Sus scrofa: one gene and its partner. The protein of the gene in region 1 binds, or shares a complex with, the protein of each later gene. Links are inferred from orthologs where the notes say so. Each region holds a gene or a part of one and is shown on either strand. Other genes may lie near its edges.

Region 1 (3,817 bases):
GTATTACTGGCTCCCTGGAAGGAAGACCTGTCTCATTCTCTTTTTAAGGATTATATTTAGTACTTATTCAAACTTTCTGGTAACTTTCTTTGCAACTTTAACTCTTTAAACAGTTCCGTACTGCTGAGGTACTAGTGAATACATACAGAATGCAGCTTTCGTTCCTTTTAAAAAGTTAATTCTGTCACTTACAGGACCGTAACTCTTGACCAGGCAACAGATAGTGCAAAAGTAATTGGAAAGGCTACGCTAAACATGTTTCATGCAATGAAACTCAACATATCGGATATGAGAGGGGTAAGTAGGTACCATTTTAAAATAGGACCCTGTGTCGTGTTTTTCTTGATCGTGGTATGATCTGAGGCCTTCATGTGTGAGATGCAGAGGGGTTTATATGCAGTCTTTTCAGCTCCACTGATGTAATACGAGAAGAGAAACTGAAAGCCTCTTGACTTTCTCACCTGAGCTGGTCCCCGTACTTAAGAGTTACTTGAGTTCTGAATCCTCTTTCTGCTTAGAGTAACAAGTGTCCTATCTTGAGTTGTTAGGTACCTTCCTTTTAAACAACCAAGGGCCTACTTTGCCTGCAGTGTCTTGCTTCCTGCCCTTGTTCCCCTAGAGGTAGGTGGGTCGGCGGGGGGGTGGGGGGGCGCGCCAGCGTGAAGCCGCCTGTAATTCCTGACTTCTGAGGGCCTTTTAGTCTACTGTCTGATAGATGATCTTCAGGGGGAATTTACCACAGGTGTATTAAGGTGCCTTTGCAACAGATTGGTGAGAGGGCATCAAAAAATGTGAGAATCTTAATTTTTTTCAAGATGAGCCTGTGGGTGGTTGTATTTAGGTACACACATGAGTAGAGGCCGGTCACGGACTGGGCGTGGGTTTTGTGGAAGGAGCAGGAAATTAGTTCCTAAGCCTGCTGGGGTGGGGCTCCATGCCAGGGCTGTGCTACCCAGCACATTTGGCTCCTCTGCACAGAGTACTGCAGGGACCCACTCCCCCAACCCCACCCCACCCCACCCCACAAAGCTGGTTTTCACTCACAGAGCACTGCATCTTAAAAAGACAAATGATAGATGAAGTTGCAAGTACACTGTCCCCCATGTAAACATTTTTATAATCTTATTTTAAAAACATAATTGATGAGAACTTCAGTGGGATATAGTACTCCACTTTTTTGGATTTTCTGATTGTGAAGCAATCATATTTGGGTAGAAGTGGATACTCCTTAGATTGAGGTGAGTAATTGCTCACTAGCTAGTACAGAGGTGGTATTTGAAATAAATCATAGAAACACTTTTGAAGGTATTCCGTTTGAATACTTTCATTTAACCTTTTTCCGTAGAAACCTATTTGTTATTCTGGTTCTAGGTTGGGATTCTAGTGAATCAGTTGGTTCCGACTAATCCGAACCCTTCAGCTGGTCCCAGTCACCCAGCAGTGCAGTCGAGCCACTTTCCTGGCAGCTCACACTCTGTCCTCGATCTCCTCCAAGTTCAAAAAACGAAGAAGCCCCCAGAAGAGGAGCACAAGGAAGGTCAGTGTCGTCAGGAGGCTGTTAGTGTCCACGTTGTGTGGCACAGCTCCATGTGACTTCAGGACCAGACTGACATTCTGAACTAAGATGCCCCCTCCCTCCCCACTACCCGACGCTATTTTCTGTACTTTTCAGTATTTCTAGCTGCGCTGGATCTGGAAATATCATCCGCCTCCAGCACTTGCACTTTTTTACCATCTCTTTCTGCACATCCGACATCAGGTGCCAGTGCTGCCACCAGCAGAGCGGAGCCCTCAGGGAAGTGGAACGGCCTGCGCTCTCCCCTCAGTTTAAAGTCAAGACTTAACCTTAGTATAGAGGTCCCGTCGCCTTCCCAGGTATATTTTCTTTTCTTTTCTTTTCTTTTTTTGTCTTTTGTCTTTTGTCCTTTTAGGGCTGCACTTTGGGCATATGGAGGTTCCCAGGCTAGGGGTCTAATTGGAGCTGTAGCCACCAGCCTACACCAGAGCCACAGCAACATGGGATCCGAGCCACGTCTGCAACCTACATCACAGCTCGCAGCAGTGCCGGATCCTTAACCAACTGAGTGAGGCCAGAGATCGAACCTGCAACCTCATGGTTCCTAGATGGATTCGTTAACAACTGAGCCACGACGGGAACTCCCCCAGGTATATTTTAAACATTGTAAATAGGACTGAAGTACAAAGCGGATTCCCAACAGGAAGAATGTTTTTCATTTCTGTATCAGTACAGAGCTAGGAAAGGGAGGAGGGGTACCTGCTGGGGCGAGCCCTGGGGTCACCAGATCCCGGATGGGGAATAATCAGCTTAGGGCCAAGATGACGCTTTTGCCAAGACCTGCAGCTCCTGCAGGCTTTAAAACACAGGTGAGAGCTGGTTCTGTGAATGGCTGCTATCAGCAGCCACCATCTGTCTCCCAGTGGTAATCCCGGGGACCTAACTGTCCAGCAGCACGGCTTTGGTGCGCATTAGTAGAGGCCTTAGGCCAGAGGTTTTTCTCGCAGCATTTGCCAACAGTTTCCTCTGCGGGGTGAATCCTTTTCCTCACCCAAGCCATGAACTCTGAGTGGGCTCCAGCTGTGGAATGCTGTTGGCATTTTTGCTCCTTGGAAACTTAAAATAGCACTCTAAACTCTGCCGGGAAAATCAGTTTTCTTTTCCCCTAAGGCTGAGGTAGGAGGCTGAGGATGTGCATGCTGCATCTGAGGCTGGGGAAGGGATCTTGCCATGTGCTTGTGTGGGGTCCCTGGGGCTGGGGGGCTCCCCAGAGGGGCCACCTGGGCTTAGGGACCTGCATCTTTCCACAGGTGGGCAGACGATTCTAGTGTGTGGCTTCTAGAATCCCTTTTGACTAGCTCGATGCTCAGCCTAAATGTGTTTATAGTTGGGGGCAGATAGTATCCTGTCTAAAAGGTAAACTTCCGACCCAGGACCATTACTCCTTCCCAGCAGTTGGGCATGTGCCTGGGGCACTGGCCGCTCCCCCTGAGTGTCACCAGGACTCTGCCTGTCTGCCTGCTCTTGGGCCAGAGGTTCAGTGAGGACATTTGGCTTAGCTGACCCTGTGGTACTGGGCAGTGGCGTGCACCTGCCATCTGCAGATTCCACGCATGGCTGACGAGGCTTCAATGACAAAAACCCAAAGACATTCCAAAAATGTGCTGGTTCTTAGCAAAAAAAACCAACCCCCCCCCCAAAAAAAATTCCCATTGTGGCTCAGTGGTAATGAAATATCCATGAGGCTGTGGGCCCAATCCCTGGCCTTGCTCTCAGTGGGTTAAGGATCCAGCCTTACTGTGAGCTGTGGTGTAGGTCGCAGGCACCAGCTCAGATCCCACGTTGCTGTGGCTGTGGCACAGGCCGGTGGCTACAGCTCTGATTCGACCCTTAGCCTGGGAACCTCCATATGCCGTAAGTGTGGCCCTAAAAAGAAAAAAAACAAAAAAACAAAACCAACCAAACATGCTGGTTGGGGGAGTGGCTCTCCTCGCCCCACCACCTGCACCTTCCATTCTCTGTTGAGAACGTTCACATTGAAGTGACACATTAACTCCCGACACATCGTCTCTGTGCACGCTGTAACGTCACACTGTCTGCTGTTTCACAGCTCGACCCGTCTGTTCTGGAAGCTCTTCCACCTGATCTCCGGGAGCAAGTGGAGCAAGTGTGTGCTGTTCCGCAAGCAGAGCCACATGGTGACAAGAAGAGAGAGCCAGTCAATGGCTGCAGTACAGGAATTTTGCCGCAACCAATTGGGACAGTTTTGTTACAAATACCAGAACTTGAAGAATCTAACGG
Region 2 (3,817 bases), on another chromosome or scaffold:
AAAAAAAAAGAGTGGGATCATGCACAAGAACATAGGCACACAATATACTCACACATCTACAGAGCAAGGAAAGGATACTCTACTGTAGTAGTTTGTGTTCCTCCACTGACTCTGAAGTAGTTACTCCAAGGTATTTTTGAAATTATTTCAGGAGTTCCCATCGTGGCGCAGTGGTTAATGAATCTGACTAGGAACAATAAGGTTGTGGGTTCGATCCCTGCCCTTGCTCAGTGGGTTGAGGATCTGGTGTTGCCATGAGCTGTGGTGTAGGATGCAGACATGGATGGAATCCCGCGTTGCTGTGGCTCTGGCGTAGGCTGGTGGCTACAGCTCCGATTGGACCCCTAGGCCTGGGAACCTCCATATGCCACAGGAGTGGCCCTAGAAAAGGCAAAAAGCCAAAAAAAATAAATAAATAAAATAAGATCATTTCATAAACTTAGAGCATATATATGTTTTTGCAAATCATATTTTTATTGTTATAACCTAGTATCTCAGTTTAATTATTAAAATAGTAATTTAAATTATTAGGTCTTAATAACTCTCTGGTCTACTTTACTCCTAAATTTTCTGAAACTGCCTTTGTTCATTATTTAATGAAGATTTTTTTTTTGATGAAGATATTAAGAGTAAAATAAATTTTAAAAAAGGTAAAATAAATGATCTAAATCACATCCTGAAGTCAACTATATTTCTAGGAAGTTTCTCTGTCTTTACCAGCATAAAATTCTATTCAATGAAATGTAGTATAAGGACATTAGCTAAATTAATTCTACTTTAGGATTAGGGTGTTCATCTTTTTTTTTTTTTTTTTTTTTTTTTGTCTTTTTGCCTTTTCTTGGGCCGCTCCTGCGGCATATGGAGGTTCCCAGGCTAGGGGTCGAATCACAGCTATAGCCACTGGCCTACACCAGAGCCACAGCAGCGCAGGATCCGAGCCGCATCTGCGACCTACACCACAGCTCACGGCAATGCCGGATCGTCAATAGGGTGTTCATCTTAAGTCTAATCTCTCTCTGTCTCTCTTTTTTTTGGCCACACCCATGGCATGCAGAAGTTCCTGGGCTAGGGTTTAAACCTGCCACAGGAGTGGCTGGGGCCACAGCAGTGAAATGCACTATGCCACAAGAGAACTTCAAATCTCTTCTTTTCTGGCAATAACTCCAATGTGAGGAGGTTGGCTGTGACACTCCACCTTTAGACTAATTTATAGGTGAACTCAAGAACACCTCAAGTTCCAATTCAAAGCATGATCACACATCACACAGTGTAGTGTACTGCGAGAATGTGGAAATCTGAAAAAAACGGAAACCTTTTACTTTCTAGCTATGAGAACTTAAATTATTTAACCTCTCTAAACTTGTTTCCTCATCTATGTGTGCGCACACGTGTGTGTGTGTGTGTGTGTGTGTGTGTGTGTGTGTGTGTGTGTGTGTAGGGGAGGGAGGAGTGGAGAGTGGGGTAATACTAAAACCTACCTTTTAACAATGTGTTATTTAAGAGACATTGCCAGTGAATGGCATATGACATATGCTCAATATATATGAGCTCTTAGAATGTTACAACGGCTGGGGCTTGTAGCTACCTCTAACCTGGCCATGCCTATACTAATGTCTCTCATTCCAAAGCTAACTTTCTAAAATCTGGGAGAGGTAGCTCAGTTCAAAAACAGAGAAGGTAAGCTTCTTCGAGATTGTTCAGTTCTGGCAAATGATTCCAGATACTGTGCTAGAATGTGAATCTGACTTTAGCCTTCTCTGGAAAAACTCTTAGTTTTCACAGTCAATTCAATTACTCCAAATACTTCAGACTTTTGGCTTTACAACATGGGAACTGATATTAAGTCTTAAATATAACAACCAATTTTTAAATAACTAAGGAACTGAAAGGGCATTAAAGGTAGCAATTATTATAAGTAATAATGACTCTGAATTGTTCTTAAAACACAGCATTAAAATTTTTTCATTTCACACTGACTGAAAAGGAATTTTTTCAGAGTTACTTACACAAAACAAATTAGAAACATTAATTCTAAGCCTCATGAAACTCTTCCCAGTCTTCCATTCCCTGTAATCTTTGTTTCTTACTTGGTGAGGTTAGCTTTTCCACGGGACTCAAGAACTTGTGCCAGGAGAAGATCTGGACATAACTTCTTAGCATCATCTGCCCACATGCTTTTAGTGACCCCAAATGCACGAGCTTCATAACTTACTGAAACTATTCTATGGTTAGGAAAAAAGGGGAACAAAAAAATAATACATGATCACAAGCAAAAATCATTAAAATTTAACAGGATGAATAAGCTATAAACTTCATAATAGAAACTTTTAGGTCACTGATACTACTATTCACTCTCAATCACAGCAGTTGAGAAATCTCAAATGTAGGACCTAGCATAGTGCCATGTATTCTTACAGATAAAAATAGCAGTTGAAAGTTATAACAGTAACTACGGTACATACCCGCCACCCTTCCATGATTTGTACTGCACAACTGCACAAGGTTTATTCTTCAGATGAGGATTTTGCCGCTGCTCCACCTGAACAAAAAAACAGTCCATGTCCAGTAGAGCAACTACCCGGTCTTGTCCATTAGACATTTTTCTGTAAGACAAAATTTTATGGATGGTTAGAAAGGATACCTAAGCCAAAGTACCAAGAAAAATTACATCGTCAGTCTTCCATTGCTGAATTATCTAAACATGGGAGCATGGAAACTAACGAGAATGAAACAGACATTTTCATACATTGCTGGTAGGAGAATAATAAGTTGATACAACTTTAGGAAGGTAATAATATTAAAAGCTTTAAAAATACCCATCCCCCAAAAGAACTGACACCTTACAAAAGAAACGAAGAGTCAACAGACATATGAAAACGGGCTCAGCATCATTAGTCATAGGGAAATGCAAATTAGAACCACAATGCACATCAGTGGAGGGATAAGGCCAACAGTTAATTTAGTTTAAAGACAAATCTCAAATACCAATTCAGGCAAAAGAGAAGCAGAAAATGATATATAATATCATAGCAGCCATGTGAATTTTTAAAACTTTTTATTCTGAAATGCTTTAAAACTTACAGGAAAATTGCAAATATAATAGGGCTCTCCTACACCCACTTCCCCCTAAGGCTAACATTAACACAGCACAATTATTAAAACTAAAAACGAAAACTGGTATAACATTCACACTACTTTACTTGAATTTTACTAGTTATTCCACTAATGCCCATTTTTGGTTCCGGGATTCAATTTAGTCATCATGTCTCCTTAGTCTTCTCCAATCTGTGACACTTCATGTTTTTCATGTTCTTGGCACTTTTTTTTTTTTTGGTCTTTTTTTGTCTTTTCTAGGGCCACACCCACAGTACATGGAGGTTCCCAGGCTACGGGTCTAATCGGAGCTGTAGCTGCCAGTCTACGAAAGGAACTCAGGATCCGAGCAGAGTCTGCAAATACACCATAGCTCATGGCAACACCGGATCCCTGACCCAATGATCGAGGCCAGGGATCGAACCCGCAACTTCATGGTTCGTAGTCGGATTCGTTAACCACTGAGCCATGACAGGAACTCCCCTGCACTTTTGAAGGGAACTACTAAGTTACTTTGAGAATATCTTTTCAATTTAGGTTTGTTTGCTGTTTTCTCTTCATTAGACTGAGGCTATGCATTTTGGGCAAGAATATTATGGACATGTTCTGCTTTTCTCTGAGTACCATGTGGGCAGATACACAATGTCAATTATGTCAATACTAGTGATGCTAAGCTTATCATTTAGTTGTAATAGTGTTTGCTAGGTTTCTCATTGCAGAGTTA

The links.
Region 2: the proteins of REV1 (region 1) and POLH are in contact, whole or in part, in an NMR structure (PDB 2LSK), measured with the Homo sapiens proteins. The link is inferred for Sus scrofa from reciprocal best matches to the Homo sapiens genes REV1 and POLH. Residues at the interface, in NP_057400.1 of Homo sapiens: Asn1158, Leu1159, Ala1160, Gly1161, Leu1171, Leu1172, Trp1175, Ile1179, Asp1181, Pro1182, Met1183, Glu1185, Asp1186, Gln1189, Val1190; in NP_006493.1 of Homo sapiens: Thr528, Glu529, Pro530, Phe531, Phe532, Lys533, Lys535, Ser536, Leu539.

What each region holds. Positions count from the first base shown.
Region 1 is NC_010445.4:54,855,356-54,859,172, forward strand, and holds part of REV1 (DNA repair protein REV1), read left to right. Parts: intron 1-194; coding exon 195-297; intron 298-1,371; coding exon 1,372-1,537; intron 1,538-1,672; coding exon 1,673-1,875; intron 1,876-3,626; coding exon 3,627-3,817. UniProt on the Homo sapiens protein: Deoxycytidyl transferase involved in DNA repair. Transfers a dCMP residue from dCTP to the 3'-end of a DNA primer in a template-dependent reaction.
Region 2 is NC_010449.5:38,571,985-38,575,801, reverse strand, and holds part of POLH (DNA polymerase eta), read right to left. Parts: intron 2,604-3,817; 5' UTR 2,600-2,603; coding exon 2,463-2,599; intron 2,223-2,462; coding exon 2,088-2,222; exon of another isoform or gene 2,027-2,087; coding exon of another isoform or gene 2,007-2,026; intron 1-2,006. UniProt on the Homo sapiens protein: DNA polymerase specifically involved in the DNA repair by translesion synthesis (TLS). Due to low processivity on both damaged and normal DNA, cooperates with the heterotetrameric (REV3L, REV7, POLD2 and POLD3) POLZ complex for complete bypass of DNA lesions.